Linked DNA regions of Caenorhabditis elegans. Each later gene encodes a partner of the first gene's protein in a complex. Each region holds a gene or a part of one and is shown in the gene's direction. Other genes may lie near its edges.

The links.
Region 2: mrpl-44 (region 1) and mrpl-32 share a complex: the UniProt entries of both Caenorhabditis elegans proteins name them as parts of the mitochondrial large ribosomal subunit.

The regions. Positions count from the first base shown.
Region 1 is NC_003281.10:9,083,154-9,092,731, reverse strand, and holds mrpl-44 (Large ribosomal subunit protein mL44), read left to right. Parts: upstream 1-3,356; 5' UTR 3,357-3,358; coding exon 3,359-3,413; intron 3,414-3,461; coding exon 3,462-3,570; intron 3,571-3,705; coding exon of another isoform or gene 3,706-3,997; intron 3,998-4,043; coding exon of another isoform or gene 4,044-4,641; intron 4,642-4,696; coding exon of another isoform or gene 4,697-5,001; intron 5,002-5,052; coding exon of another isoform or gene 5,053-5,207; intron 5,208-5,252; coding exon of another isoform or gene 5,253-5,490; intron 5,491-5,535; coding exon of another isoform or gene 5,536-5,610; exon of another isoform or gene 5,611-5,988; intron 5,989-5,997; coding exon 5,998-6,073; intron 6,074-6,124; coding exon 6,125-6,371; intron 6,372-6,448; coding exon 6,449-6,604; intron 6,605-6,652; coding exon 6,653-6,899; intron 6,900-7,495; coding exon 7,496-7,585; intron 7,586-7,639; coding exon 7,640-7,844; 3' UTR 7,845-8,422; downstream 8,423-9,578. Other genes in the region: glp-1 (glp-1/Notch intracellular domain), read right to left, coding at 280-419; mccc-2 (putative methylcrotonoyl-CoA carboxylase beta chain, mitochondrial), read left to right, coding at 3,359-3,413, 3,462-3,570, 3,706-3,997, 4,044-4,641, 4,697-5,001, 5,053-5,207, 5,253-5,490, 5,536-5,610. UniProt on the Caenorhabditis elegans protein: Component of the mitochondrial ribosome. May have a function in the assembly/stability of nascent mitochondrial polypeptides exiting the ribosome.
Region 2 is NC_003281.10:8,447,783-8,452,731, forward strand, and holds mrpl-32 (Large ribosomal subunit protein bL32m), read left to right. Parts: upstream 1-1,974; 5' UTR 1,975-1,975; coding exon 1,976-2,204; intron 2,205-2,255; coding exon 2,256-2,458; intron 2,459-2,504; coding exon 2,505-2,624; 3' UTR 2,625-2,737; downstream 2,738-4,949. Other genes in the region: rpn-3 (26S proteasome non-ATPase regulatory subunit 3), read left to right, coding at 1-109, 153-880, 928-1,227. UniProt on the Caenorhabditis elegans protein: Component of the mitochondrial large ribosomal subunit (mt-LSU). The mitochondrial ribosome (mitoribosome) is a large ribonucleoprotein complex responsible for the synthesis of proteins inside mitochondria.

The DNA.
Region 1 (9,578 bases):
TTTACGAGATTTTACATTGTGACAGCCTCCTGCTGTTCATTGTGTTCCCATTCTGCAAGCCGGGTGGCGTTTAATGATGTCTTAGAGGGAAATATGGACAGTGATAATTCAACTTTCGGATATTATTCAAAATGTTCTCTACACCAAGCTTTTGTTTATCTATCGCCTGTTTCCCACCACCACCACCTGCCCAAACTTTCTTTTTTTTGTTCTTTTCGTCACGGTTCATGAGAAAGCGGATGAATAACATTGACATGGGAGAATGAAATATATGCTTACCGGCACCAGTATGTCTCAATCAGTTTTCCATTATAGCATTTTCCATTGACGGAGCAAGCACCTTCCCTTCCGCATTCTCCACCCATAAGTTGACTGGCGATTGGCGCAAAAAACGCGAGTAAAATTAGAAGAACTCGCATTGTTGTGTTCGCTGTTCGAGATTCTGTTATTATTAGTTGTTAGAGCAGCTCTTGGTGTTATTGTACATGAATCTGAAAGAAAATATGAATTAAATCAAGAGATGCGGTTAAGCGAAAAAAAAGAACACTTCAGCATTATCACAAAAGTACAAAAAAAGAACGGAGAACAGGAAAAAAACGAAAATGGAGAAGACAAGGAGCGACGAATGAAGGCCGGGTGGCATACTCCGCCCATTTTCTGAGTGTGTTGCGATTGTCTTGACACCTGAGATGGGCGGTCCAAAAAGAAGGATAACAGTACTTTTTTCGAATAGGAACACTAGAAAAAGAACTGTTAGGATAAATCGGAAAACTCATTGATTACATTATTTTATTGCCTATCCGACAGCTGCATGTTGGTTGCGAAATGTGGAGAAAACAACCAATTTATGGCCTTTCAATTGATCATTCCCGTGAAGAAGAAGTGGGGAAAACGATTTACATAAGAAAGTGAACGAAAAACTTTGTTAGAACGATAAACGGAGATTTGTTTGCAATGATTTACTTGGAACCTATTTTACGCCGTTTTCAAGCGATGAATATTCCGAAAATAATGTGATGGAGCTAAATAAACTTATTACGATCTCATTTAAAATATTAGAAATACAGAAAAATGTTCTTATCGTGTCAAAAAAAGAAAAAAAAACAAAGAAAATCATTTTAAAACTCAAAATAAATTTTGGCGCCGTGCACAGCTCGGAAGTCCGCAATTGACGACCGTACCCCTTCGCTTACCGTAGTTCTGATATTTGCTTATCTTTTTTAAATATTATTCTCAAAAACACACACAAAACTTATCTGAAGATTAAAAATACGAAAAACTGTATTCATGTTTGAATAGAAAAAAATCTACAGTATGTCTGTAAACATTATTTCAATATTCAGTCAATTCTGGAATAAACAAATTTGCTCTGCTTCTGGAAATGTTTATACAAAGAAAAAGCGTTATTGTCGGCATACAATACGGAATATAAAGGAAAACGGAAAAAGAAAACCGAAGTGCTAAATCGATAGTGATCACATAGGCGGTTTCAGAATAATCCACGTTTTCGTGCAGCAAGTCGTCCATTGTTCTCGAATTTGAACCTTCCTAAATCAGTCCGTGTTCTAATTTCCCGTACCTGGCCACATATGAACACAAATTATATTGGTAGAACATATGGAAACAAGGTACACGTGTAGTTATTGTCCGATAAAATGATAGTTTTATGACTCATAGGAAATTTGAATCTAGGAAGATTCCACGCAAAACTGTTGGTCAGATGCAATTTTTCACGATTTTTCGAAAAGATGTGCGCCTTTATGGAGTACAGTAATCCATTTCGCAATTTTCTTTGAGTTTTTCACTATATTTCTCTCGTTCACAAAGATTTTGATGGATTATATTAAATTTCTCGTTTTTGGGAGAAAAAAGTAAAAATCAAAGGCAATTTCAAAAAAAAAACCGGAAAATGGTTACTGTGCTTCTTAAAGGCGCACACCTTTCCGTCAATTTAAAATATTATGTTCGTGGCGAGATACGGGGCATACCGTATTTCTGCGTGGGAAATTGCAAAATTTTGTCAAAAAAAAATTTCTTCCAAAATAAGTTGAAAACTCTCACTGGACCGGACGTACAAAACTACATGTTTCTCCCAAAACATTGTTAATGTTGTTTCTCATACTCGAGGTTACCTAGGTATTCAAAACATTTGTACTGAAGAAAAAACATTCAGCATTCGGAAGATAAACTATAAGGTCATGTGAGAAAAGAGAAAAAGTATTGGGGATTCTGAATGTTTCCATAAAATGGGTTTTGTACAGCACAAGGAGTTAGGATTAATTTTACAACTTTAATTGAATTTTTAAGCAGTTGTGGATATTTTCAAATTCTTAAGTTTTCTGATTTATACCTTTTACTTATACGGAACTTGCTAGAATTAGCCAGGTGGCTGAAAATTTTGGTACCACCTTATAAGGTCCTAATGCCTAAAAGATAAATGAAGAGTTGCTGAGAGTAATTGGTGTATCAAATTGGGCTATAGAACATATGTTTATTAAAAATTGAACGGTACGGTATTGAATTTTGAAGATAATTTTTTTTCTGAATTTAATATTTTCTTAACATCTTAAATTCGATTTATCAAATTGACATTTTGAATATTCTGAAAGTTAAATATTTAATGGCTATGAGAAAATTATTATTAATTAGTAGATAGAATACGATTGCGTACCGGAAGGACCTTAGCACAAGTGACGTGGTTATCTAACTGGCTAGTTAGATAACCACGTCACTTGCCTAGGTTCCCATGACTTGGAAAGTTCATGACCGGATAAATTTCAGACAGGAAGACGTGCATGTTATTCTAATTAGTCACTGCTGTCAATTATATGATTCAGGTGTTCAAGTATAATGGTGTGAGAAAATATTGCATGTACTTGTAATCAATGCAAGTACATATTATGTTGTACTTGTATAAATTAGAACGAATTCATAGGGAACATAGAGGTGGAATACAGCATTTAATTGTATATTGTATATTTTGCTGACAACTTATGGAACGGCTTTAGAAGGATATCTGCTGTGCATATATCAAAATTCTAATGAAATGACAAAAACTCTAATTTGAACGCCCGCGTTTTGTCGGGTACGAGACTCCGATATCCCGCGTGCGCCCAGTTTAGTCAAGTTTTTGCTCGGTGTTTTTTTCTTATCATCAACTTTGCAAATAAGTTTTTCCCCTTTATTTTTTACGATTTCAACGATTTTTAGTTCGAAAAATGTGCGAAAATTATTATTGCAATCTTAATAATCTTCTTACTTGCCGAATTCGTCAGAATTTGCCCATTGAACGCTGATTTTTCGAGTTGGACAGTCTTTTATTCCAAATCGATGTTTTTCATAGCTTTTAATTGCAGTAATGTTCCGTCACGTGGCTCAAAATTTGGGCTCAAGAAACACATCCATTCAGTCATGTGAGTTTGAGCAATTATTAGTTTTGATATTCAATATCTGTTTTCCAGACCGGTTGCTGCGTACTCGATGGGAGCGAGGATACCTGAAGGACCTTTACCATCGCCGACAGATTCTTGGAGCTGATCCAGCAATTTCCCGATCTTCATACCCAAACTGGTAAGTTTTTTCTCAGAAAAATGTCATACAAAAGCCGTTTCCCATTTCCCACTGTATTGACTCACTGTGCTGCTAATTGCAATTGAAAATCGCTTGAAACTCAAGCGGTTTAAGTATTTTCTTAACCCATCTCAGTTCTGTGCAAGTACGTAATCATCATTGCTCTGCTGACAAGTCAACTCTTCAATGGGCTCCTATCAAGACTTCCATCGACAACTCTTCGGACGATTTTGCTGCTAACACTGCTGAAATGAAGGTTCTCGTGGAAGATTTGAAAGCAAAAATATCTAAAATCGAGCAAGCTGGAGGAGAAAAAGCCGTGAAATTACACCGCAGTCGTGGAAAAATGCTTGCAAGAGAAAGAATTGACGGCATTGTCGATGCTGGATCACCATTCATAGAGTTTAGTCAACTTGCTGGATACGAGGTAAACGATATTCGTATCCGATTTGAAATTGACTGTTTCTTTTCAGATGTATGGAAAAGAGGAAGTCCCATCTGGTGGAATTCTCACTGGAGTTGGAATAGTTTCTGGTCGTGTTTGTGTCATTGTAGCGAACGATGCGACTGTCAAGGGAGGAACATACTATCCTATCACCGTAAAAAAGCATCTTCGTGCACAAGAAATCGCCCGCGAAAACAAATTGCCTTGTATCTATCTCGTAGATTCTGGTGGCGCAAATCTTCCACGCCAAGCAGATATCTTTGCCGACAGCCAGCATTTCGGAAGAATTTTTTACAACCAAGCAACAATGAGCAGCGAAGGAATTCCACAATTGGCTGTAGTTATGGGAAGTTGTACAGCAGGAGGAGCTTACGTTCCAGCTATGTCTGATCAAGCCATTATTGTCAAAGGAACCGGAACTGTTTTCCTTGGAGGACCACCACTTGTGAAAGCTGCAACTGGAGAAGAGATCTCTGCCGAGGAACTTGGTGGAGCTGATCTTCACTGTGGAGAATCGGGTGTTACTGATTATTATGCCCATAATGATAAACATGCTTTGTACTTGGCAAGAAGTTGTATCGCGGGACTACCACCAGTCGAGGAGCATATGACCTTCAATCCAAACGGTATTACAATAGTAAAATATTCATGTTTCTAATTCTCATTCTTCAAAATTTTCAGCTGATGAGCCTTTGTATCCAGCTGAGGAAATTTACGGAATCGTGGGATCTAATCTCAAAAAGACATACGACGTCCGCGAGGTTATCGCTAGAATTGTCGATGGCTCTCGATTCCACGAATTCAAGGAGAGATATGGAGAGACGCTTGTGACCGGATTTGCTACTATTTATGGGCAGCGTGTAGGAATTCTAGCTAATAATGGTGTTCTGTTTGCTGAAAGTGCCATGAAAGGTTCTCATTTTATTGAGCTGTGTTGTCAACGGAAGATTCCTCTTCTTTTCCTTCAAAATATCACTGGATTCATGGTATGATTCGACAATTTTTCAATATTCACAGAGTTTAATCTAATTTTTTAGGTTGGAAGAGATGCTGAAGCCGGCGGAATTGCTAAACATGGAGCTAAATTAGTTACTGCGGTCGCTTGTGCAAAGGTTCCAAAAATCACCGTTCTCGTCGGAGGTTCATACGGAGCTGGAAACTACGGAATGTGTGGAAGAGGATACAGTCCAAGGTTTGGAAAATATAGTTGGGATACTTTCAATCTAGCTATTTCCAGATATGTGTTCATGTGGCCTAATTCTCGAATTTCCGTAATGGGTGGAGAACAGGCAGCGAATGTACTTTCAACTGTTCAAAAAGAGAAAAAGAAGCGCGAGGGAGCTGACTGGACGGATCAGCAAGATCTTGAGCTTCGTAAACCTGTCGAGGAAAAGTTTGAGAAGGAAGGACACCCATACTTTGCTTCCGCTCGTCTTTGGGATGATGGAGTTATCGATCCAAAAGACACCAGAAAGGTATGGTTTCTCAAAACACTTCTAGAAAAACCCAAATTTTTCCAGGTTCTCGGACTCGCTTTCCAGTCAACCCTGCAAAAGCCAATCCCAGAAACCAAATTCGGTGTATTCCGCATGTAACTTGTTGATTCAGGACCATCTCACTCATGTATTTTTTGTTGTGAGATTTTTATACGGATTTTCTTTAATATAGAGCTTTTTGTTAGTATGTTACGACGGTTTAAATTTATTTAGAGTATAGCTTTGATTCTGATTGCTTCCGTTGATTTCTAACCTGCTTCATACCAATCGAGTGCCTTTATGTGTTATCTAGGAATTTTCTCTTTAGTTATGAAACAAATAAAGTTGATATGATAAATATATATATTAATTATTTTACCTCGTTTCTATTGTATATTAAACTGATTCACTATGTTTTTATTTATTCTGCACAACACAGGGAGAAATGGGAAATGGCTTATATTTACAGGAGAAATTTTAGAATAAAGACAAATTAAAAATTTGCAGGGATTACGACAGTGAACTATATGCTTTTGGACACAGAATTGGAGCACCGGAAATATCCGAGGATCAGTATATTAAGGTAAGTTAAAAATATTTCAAAGTAGGAATCTGAAAAATTTTCATTTTTCAGGCGCTTACAAATGAATCATTTTTTCAAAGAGCCGACGTCGAAGAAAATGTAGAAAGTGCTCAGCCGGGAGCAGAAGTTGGAACTGAACATAATGCAGAGCTTGTGAAACGTGGAGAGCAAAATCTGTCGATTTGGCTTAAAAGATATTTGCGATTCCATTTGGCAAAGGCTCCTGAGGAATTGATTGAAGCAATTGATTCTCATCTTTTGGATGATGAATGTCTTGCTGGTATTGCTAGTCATCTCGGTGAGACTTCCTCACGAATTGTATCTTGTTTTCAGTTCAGCATTTTATATTTAGTTTCAAAATAATTTCAATTTCAGGTATCGACCACCTTGTCCGTACAAAAGAATTCCCGATCAGTCAAGAATCCTCAGCCGACGCTTTCCGTGCTCTCGCTGGAGTTTTCTCTGATGAAAAAGTGAAAAATCTTGTGATCGATTTCATAGTTCCCCAACTAGTTGATATTGATTTTGCTGGTAATGGTATTATCTTCCAGATTTATATTTTTATTTCATAAATTGCAGACATATACCCACTTGCCGATCCTCTTGCTGTTGTAACTGATTTGTTAAAATCTAACGGTGTCACTGAAATTGAGCCACGAGTTCTTCGATCGGCCGGAGAGAACAGCGCAGAGCCGATCTATGTTGTTGCAATTTATGCGGACAAATTGAAGAATGTTGGACAAAGTGCTGGAGAATCATTGGCAATTGCTGTTGATATGGCTGCTAGAGAAGCATTGCTCAGACTCTGGGATATTACTTCAGAAAAGTAATTTTTATCAAAAAATATTTGATACGATGCTCCTGTAGCTATTACCGAGAAGCGAAAATTTTCAATTTTTGCACAAAAAAATCGGTACCCGGTTTTTTTGTAAAATGTAAAAGAGTGTGAATTATCATAGATTTTTCGTAGTTTTTAGGGGGAAAAAAATGAAAAATCAATAAAAATTTAGCAGCAACAAGAGCTTGAAGTTACAGTACACATTTCAAAAACAATTTCGTGTTCAGACTAGGTACCGTATTTTTGGCGCAAAATTTCGCATCTAGATGATATTTAAAAAATTAAAATTTCAAGCTTAATCAGAAGCAGGGCTGGGGCAAAAAAAAGCCGAAGACAACGAAAAAATAAAATTCGCCGAAAACCCAGAAAAAGCGAAAAACAGATAATATTCTGTTTAAAACGCTTTTTTGGAACATTTTTGAACCTACTACGCTAGTTACATTTTCGAGTGTCTTTTTTTTTTGAAAACAAAAGTCAAATTTCGAAATTCATGAATTTTGAAGCTAGATAACCCGATTTTCCAGCAAAAAATATTCAGCGAAAGTTTAAATTCTATGAAATTAAAAATAAAGTAATTTTTTCAGAGTCCTCTTCTTTGGCGATCGTGCTGCCAATGTACCACTGGAACGATACTCTCAACCGAATTTCTCATTGTCACAGAAGTGCTCTCCAGGGTATTTGCCAAAACCAATCTTCAAAATCAATGAAAATCTACTTCTTAATTTCAGAACAAACACGAACATTATTGACCATAGCCAACCTGTTGAATCACCAGACAATCTAATTGAAGCAGTTCTCCGATACCGAAATGTGGTTGATGCAGAAGTAGGAAAGAGCTACACTAAACGATTGCGACACAAATTCTCGCGTGGTTCGCTTGCGAAACGGTCCTTCAGATATCTTGTCAAGCCGAAGCCTTACACGGTTGCTTAATTATTATTATCTAGAGAGAAGCCTTTAAACCTTCAGATTTCAATCGTATTATCTCATTTTTCCTCTTTTTTTGTTTTGTTCCAAATAGTTTTCCTTTCATTTTTGTTTGTGTTGTTAAATTTTTCAAATCAAGCTAGAATAGTGAAAGTTTCAATTTTACTCTGTTATTTGTTCTACTACATTTCCCCATTTCCACACTTGTACATGAGTGCTCAATGAAGTCGAAATTGGCAACAGCTAATCCATTCAGTTCCCATCTTGTTAAAGGAACATAAATTAGTCACATTTAAAATTCAAATTGAATTCATAATGCATCCCTTTCCTCTCTTCTTGTTGTTCCCTTCTTCCTTCCATCTCCGCTTTGCTCTTTGTCCTCCCATCGGCTCCTTGATAAATGATGGGGTCCCCCTTGGCCAGATGCAACCCCATTTATCTAAGACCCCGCTGCTGGCTCCGTGAGCACATACACAAGAGATGTGACCCTTTGATAAGCCCCAATGGGACGATTCTTCTTGTTTATTAGAAATTTGATATGCAGTTTGTTGATGGAAGATTAAATTTGAACAATATTTTATAAACAGTGGAAGGTGGAAATTGGAGCGTTCTATAGAATTATAGAAAAATTCATTCATTTGTTTATCAGTCAGTTATCAACCGATTATAGATCACACCAATGTAATGGACATTACAGAAAAAAATACGTAAGAAACCACAGGTTTACAGATCCGGAAAAAGAAAATTCAGACGTCATTCTCTATGATTACGGTAGTTGGTGAGCTCTGTTGAGTGCACTCTTGCATTTTATTTTACGTGCAAACACATCGTACTGCTTCTTTAAACTAAGTACTTGTTTTTGCCAATAATAATAATATAAAATATTTTGTATATTTTTTCGATGAACATATTATATACATATTTTTTATGATAATCATATTTTCGATAAACTTTTAAAAAAACGAAAATCAAACAATATAAAAACATAGATTTCCTGAGAAAAACTATGAAAAATCGATTAAAATTCCACAAAGTTTGAAATCACAGTACTCTTAAAAGGCGCACACCTTTTCACATTTAACAAAACGCATTCGCGTTGAGACCAGGTACCGTATTTTCGACGTAACAATCGAATGATATAACTACGCAAGATTAGTTTTGTTCTGTCAGAGTGAAAGTTTAAAGAATCTGACATAATTCTTCAAGTCAGTTGTTCAATGACCTTTTCAGCCAAACAAATTGAGAAGTACCACATCACACCTGGCTCCATCTTCCATGCATTAATGGGAACAATTTGAGCAATTGGTGGTGATGATAAAAAAGAGATAAAGTTGCACTTTTTCTTTGATTTTTTCATGATTCCTGATTCACCTTTAGTTTTTTTTCTTTTTTACACTGTCTTTGTGCTTTTGAGCTTCTTCTTCTTTCATTTCTCAAAAAGCTGCAAGACATCACGTGACACAATTGAGCCATAGACATACTTTGTGGTTTGTAGTGTGTTATGAAGTGTCTGAAGCGTTCAGAAGATCCCTCTGATGAAACTGAAACAAAACATCTCATTGACTAAGGTTTGCAGGTACATCAAAGTGTAATGGGGTCAATGAAGAGCCTGATGAAATTGATAAAGAGATAAGATGATAGGGATTGGAATGTTCTAGATTCGATTGAAAAAGAGATGGAAAAGTAGAGATCACGGATTGACAAATGCTATGAAGTTCTGCAAATGAGCTTTACAAAAAC
Region 2 (4,949 bases), 640 kb from region 1:
GCATCTCCCGAATCAGATTGCTACTTGCGTCTTCTCGTTTTGCTTCATCTTTATGCTCAAAAAAAGAATACCGAAGCTCTTGCTCTCGGCGAGAATCAACTCACATCAAGTAAAAAACATATTTTAACCCAAACAAAACGTATAATTTTCAGTTTACAACTTTGATCGGCGTACACTGGATGGACTCGCAGCAAAAACCCTTTATTTCCTCTGTGTGATCTACGAACGAGAAGGACGTCTTTTCGATCACCAGGGATTCTTGAACTCTCGACTCCGTACTGCAACTCTCCGTAATTTCTCCGAGTCACAAGCCGTTCTGATTTGCTGGCTTCTTCGCTGCTACTTGATCAACCGTCAATATCAATCAGCTGCTCATCTTGTCTCCAAAGTTGCATTCCCAGACAATGCATCTAACAATGATCTTGCCCGCTACATGTACTATCAAGGACGTATAAAGGCTCTTCAACTCGATTACAATTCGGCGGCTGGATATTTCTTGCAAGCTCAGCGAAAAGCTCCACAAGAAGGTGCCATTGGCTTCAAACAAGCTGTTCAGAAGTGGGTTGTTGTCATTGGTCTTCTACAAGGAGAGATTCCTGATCGAAGTGTGTTCCGTCAACCAATTTATCGCAAATGTCTTGCTCACTACCTGGATCTCAGTCGAGGCGTTCGCGATGGAGATGTTGCTCGTTTTAATCATAATTTGGAGCAATTCAAAACACAGTTTGAAGCTGATGATACTCTCACATTGATTGTTCGTCTGCGTCAAAACGTCATCAAGACTGCAATCAAGCAAATTTCTTTGGCGTATTCCCGAATTTATATCAAGGATATTGCCAAGAAGTTGTATATTACTAACGAGACAGAGACTGAATACATTGTAAGTAATTTATATTGACAGTTTTATGTTTATTATAATTGTTGCAGGTGGCGAAGGCTATTGCCGATGGAGCAATCGATGCTGTTATCACTTCTGATGTTCGTGATGGACCTCGGTACATGCAAAGTTCAGAAACAGCTGATATTTATCGTACTTCGGAGCCACAAGCTCACTTCGATACTCGTATCCGTTACTGCCTCGAATTGCACAATCAAGCTGTCAAAGCTCTCAGATATCCACCAAAGAAGAAGATCGCTGTTGAAACTATTGAGCAAGCTCGTGAACGCGAGCAGCAAGAGTTGGAATTCGCCAAAGAGCTGGCTGACGAAGATGATGACGATTTTTAAACCGATCACTCACTTTTTTAATTTATTCTGAACAATGCATTGGAACGTGTCTGTCTCCGTAAATAATTTTGTGTGTATTTTATTTGAATTTTCTCGTCTCTTTTCAAATCGAGATCCCTGTCCACTTTTTTCCCACACCCGAATGAATTTTATAAGGATGAATTGCATATTTCACCAAGTCTTTTTAAAATATATTTTGTTTAAAATTGGTATTTTTCACCGATTTTATTTCTGAATTAAGTAGTGTTAAAAGAGAAAGATCGTCTAAAAAATAATCTTCAATTCTATCGTGATAGAAATCCATGAGTTTTCGAATAAATACTGTATTGCAACATCTAAATATACGATTCTATTAAATTTTACAAAAATAATGTAATTTGTCTAAACACTTGCTTTACGATGTCCGCAAACACTACCTGCACACGAACTGCGTCAGAAATTACGAGCACGATTTTCTTAATTCTTTTAGTTCAGAAACTTTCTTGAAATCATTTTAGTTATATTTATGTTTATTCAATATATTTTGTATTACCAAAAGTAAAAAAAGGAAACACTGAAAATCCCATTAATATTTAAACTCTATTTTTCTCTGAAACTAACTGGAATTCAATTTTGGAATTTATTAGTTTTAGTCAATTGCTCTCTGATATTTAATTTTTTTTTCATTTAAAAAACATAATTTATTTAACTACGAGATCGATTATAGCGCTGCTTTTCTTCCTCTTTGAAGTTTAAAATTATTTTCAGAATGAATGAGGCTCGAGCAAGGATCATAATAAACCTGCGGCTGTCGATGGACTCGCTGATGCGAGTTTTCAGTCACCGATCACCACCTCCTTCATTTGGATTTGCTTGCGATGTCGGTGCACATCCATCATCAACTGCACAAAACTTGCCAATGACATATGGAAGTGTTCGCGAAATGATTGACGATTTTAGTATTGTTTTTGGAGTTCCAAAGTATAGAACTAGCAAACGTACGTTTATATGTTATGTAAAAAAACTGATTTTCAAAATTTATTTTTTAGCAAAGAAAGTAACTCGCAAGTTCTCATTCACACGCCTTCTTCAACCGATTGATAATCTTGTGACATGTCCAGCGTGCTCGAATATTCATCCATCGGACACTATTTGTGATGCCTGCTACGCCAAAGTTCATCAATTGACTTCGGAAATAAAAAAAAAAATGATGCAGTACAATCCATATGTTGGAGAGAAACAGGATAAAGAAGTATGTTGGTCCAAAATAAATTAGTTTTCCAATAAAATGCTTTCAGGTATATGTGAAATTCAGAGGAGAACCAGATGCACCGGCAGCAGTTGTTAAAGGAAAGCGAGTTCTCGAAATTGAAAAAGAACGACCGACTTGGTTCAAGAAGTTGACACTAAAAGAATGATTTTCCTCTATTTTTATAGGTTTTTATAGATTTGTTCGTTTTCCTTGTTTTTGTTCATTCATCATTTTTTTTTTTATTGGAGTCATAAATAGAAAAACCTCTTACCATTTTCTAATTGTATTTCTATTTTCCATTTATGTTTCAGGTGGAAATCAAAACCATTGCGTGTTGTAAGTGTGAAACAGCTGAATCGATATTCTCTCCGGTTACCCTTGTTTCCAAAAGTGTGTCACTTGTTGACATTCCGCTTTTCTAATGTGCTCTTGTCACGATCACTCTGCTCGAGCACATGAAGTAGGAGAACTGCATGTGTGTTTGCGTGATTTTTAGAGGAATCCATTACTTCGGTTTAGATGTTTGATATTGGGTTACAATGGTGAGTAAGGGATTCCACATATGTTGTACTTTTGTATGCAAGCAAAATGGAATTCTGAAACGATGCAAAATTCAACAATATTTTGTTCATTAGTTTATTCAATTTTTAGACAAAAATGTGGGAAAAAAGTTAAAAATATAAAGGTTTATAGAGTATCCAAGACGTGTCATAAAGCGCAAAATTTTGTGACTTTTTCGTCAAAACCCGGTCTCAACACGACAATTTATCGTTAAATACAAACGGGTGTGCGCCTTTAACGAGTACTGTACAGTACTCTTTGAAGGCGCACACCTGTTTGTATTTAACAAAACAATCATCGTGTTGAGACCAGGTACCGTAGTTTTGCCGAAAAAAACCAATTTTCTAAAAGTCCTTATAAACAGTTTGTTTTCTGGAAGCCATGGAAACTCGACTAAGGTGGCAGCAGCAGGCAGCAATACTTTTAAAATTTGATTCCCAAAATTTCATTGAATTCTAGAGATGTTCAACTTTTTCTCTCTTCTATTTCGATCTGTTCGCTTCTTACCGCACATTGAGACTGATAGTTGAATTGCGTGACAAGAGTATTTCGATCTCCTATCTCTGCGTCTCACCTCCTACAACACTGTCTCGAGACTAATGATGAATGCATTTTGTACCAGTCGGTCGATCCTCCATCCTTCCTATTCAACTTGTAAAGTTGTGTTGTTGAGATATGGATTAAAAGAAAAGAAAAAAGAAATACCATGAATTTTCGGATGAGTTCGTATTTTTAGAGAGTAGTCGGCAAAAGAATGAATTGGGTTACTGTAAGAAGTAGGGGGACAAAAGTTAACAAGGGCAAGTAAACATTAAAAATATCTGACTTTACCTGAAAAAGGTAAACCAAGTGGCTAAAATAATACGAAATTTACAGAACAATGGGAAGTGACGCGCTACAGTACCTCTCTTAAAGGCGCACACTTATTCACGGGCGAGTTATCTGTAAATTTTTCAGTCGTGGCGAGACCCGGTACTGTGGCTTCGATATCTGGAAATTTTGGGTTTTTTGACTGTGCAAAAGATATAACATTTTTATTTTACTTTTTAAATCAGTTTATCGAACGTTCACTGTAAAGGCGTAGGCTACGTGGAAGGCAGTCACGCAGGTAGGATCTTTGTGCTTTTTTGAAAGTCGAACTATAAAACAATATCTTCTGATTGAAGTGCACAACATCAGTTCAAGAAGTCCCGTCCATCTTCATTAGTTGTCTAAAAGTCATGGATATACCCCGTCTCATCGTCAGAGCCAATGTGACTATGAATATTGGGTTTCACCACCATCACAAATCCAAAAGACTCACTACCACATTTTAGGGGCTTCTTCTTCTTCTTTTGCCTATCTCAGTTTACTTTACTCTCAAATAGTAGAAGAGAAGCCTCTTCCTTCCTTTTCTAATGAGTGAGCCTCCACCGAGAATGAGAAGAAGGATGAGAGGTTGAGGATTATCCGACAAAACCATATTTGGACTTAATATTAGACAAACTAATGGGTACCGTAGTCTCGAATTGGTTGAAGGACAAGGTAATTGATCTAGTTGCTTTGAAAAATTAAAAAAAAAAAGACCATCTTCATGATTTTAGCTGAAACTGTTAAAAATTGTATTACCTTGTGTACACTGGTCGAAGCGGATCTCTTTGTTAGGGAAGCCTTCAGGAGCACATGTCTGACCATGCCTACCTACCTACCGCCTACTTTCTGATATTTTTCCTGTGCTCCATTGTTTTCATTGTCTTGTTTCACTGTTTTTTTTTTGAAAATTCACCAATAGAACTTTCGCATGTAAGTTGGCAGAACGCTGAAGACAAGGCCAGGCCTTCTTGCAGTCGTGTAGGCGTTTCCGAGATTTCATGGAATGGCAATGGGGAGCATACCGATCAGCAATTTTTAATATACCAATAAATCAATAAACATTTTCTCGTTTTTTTCA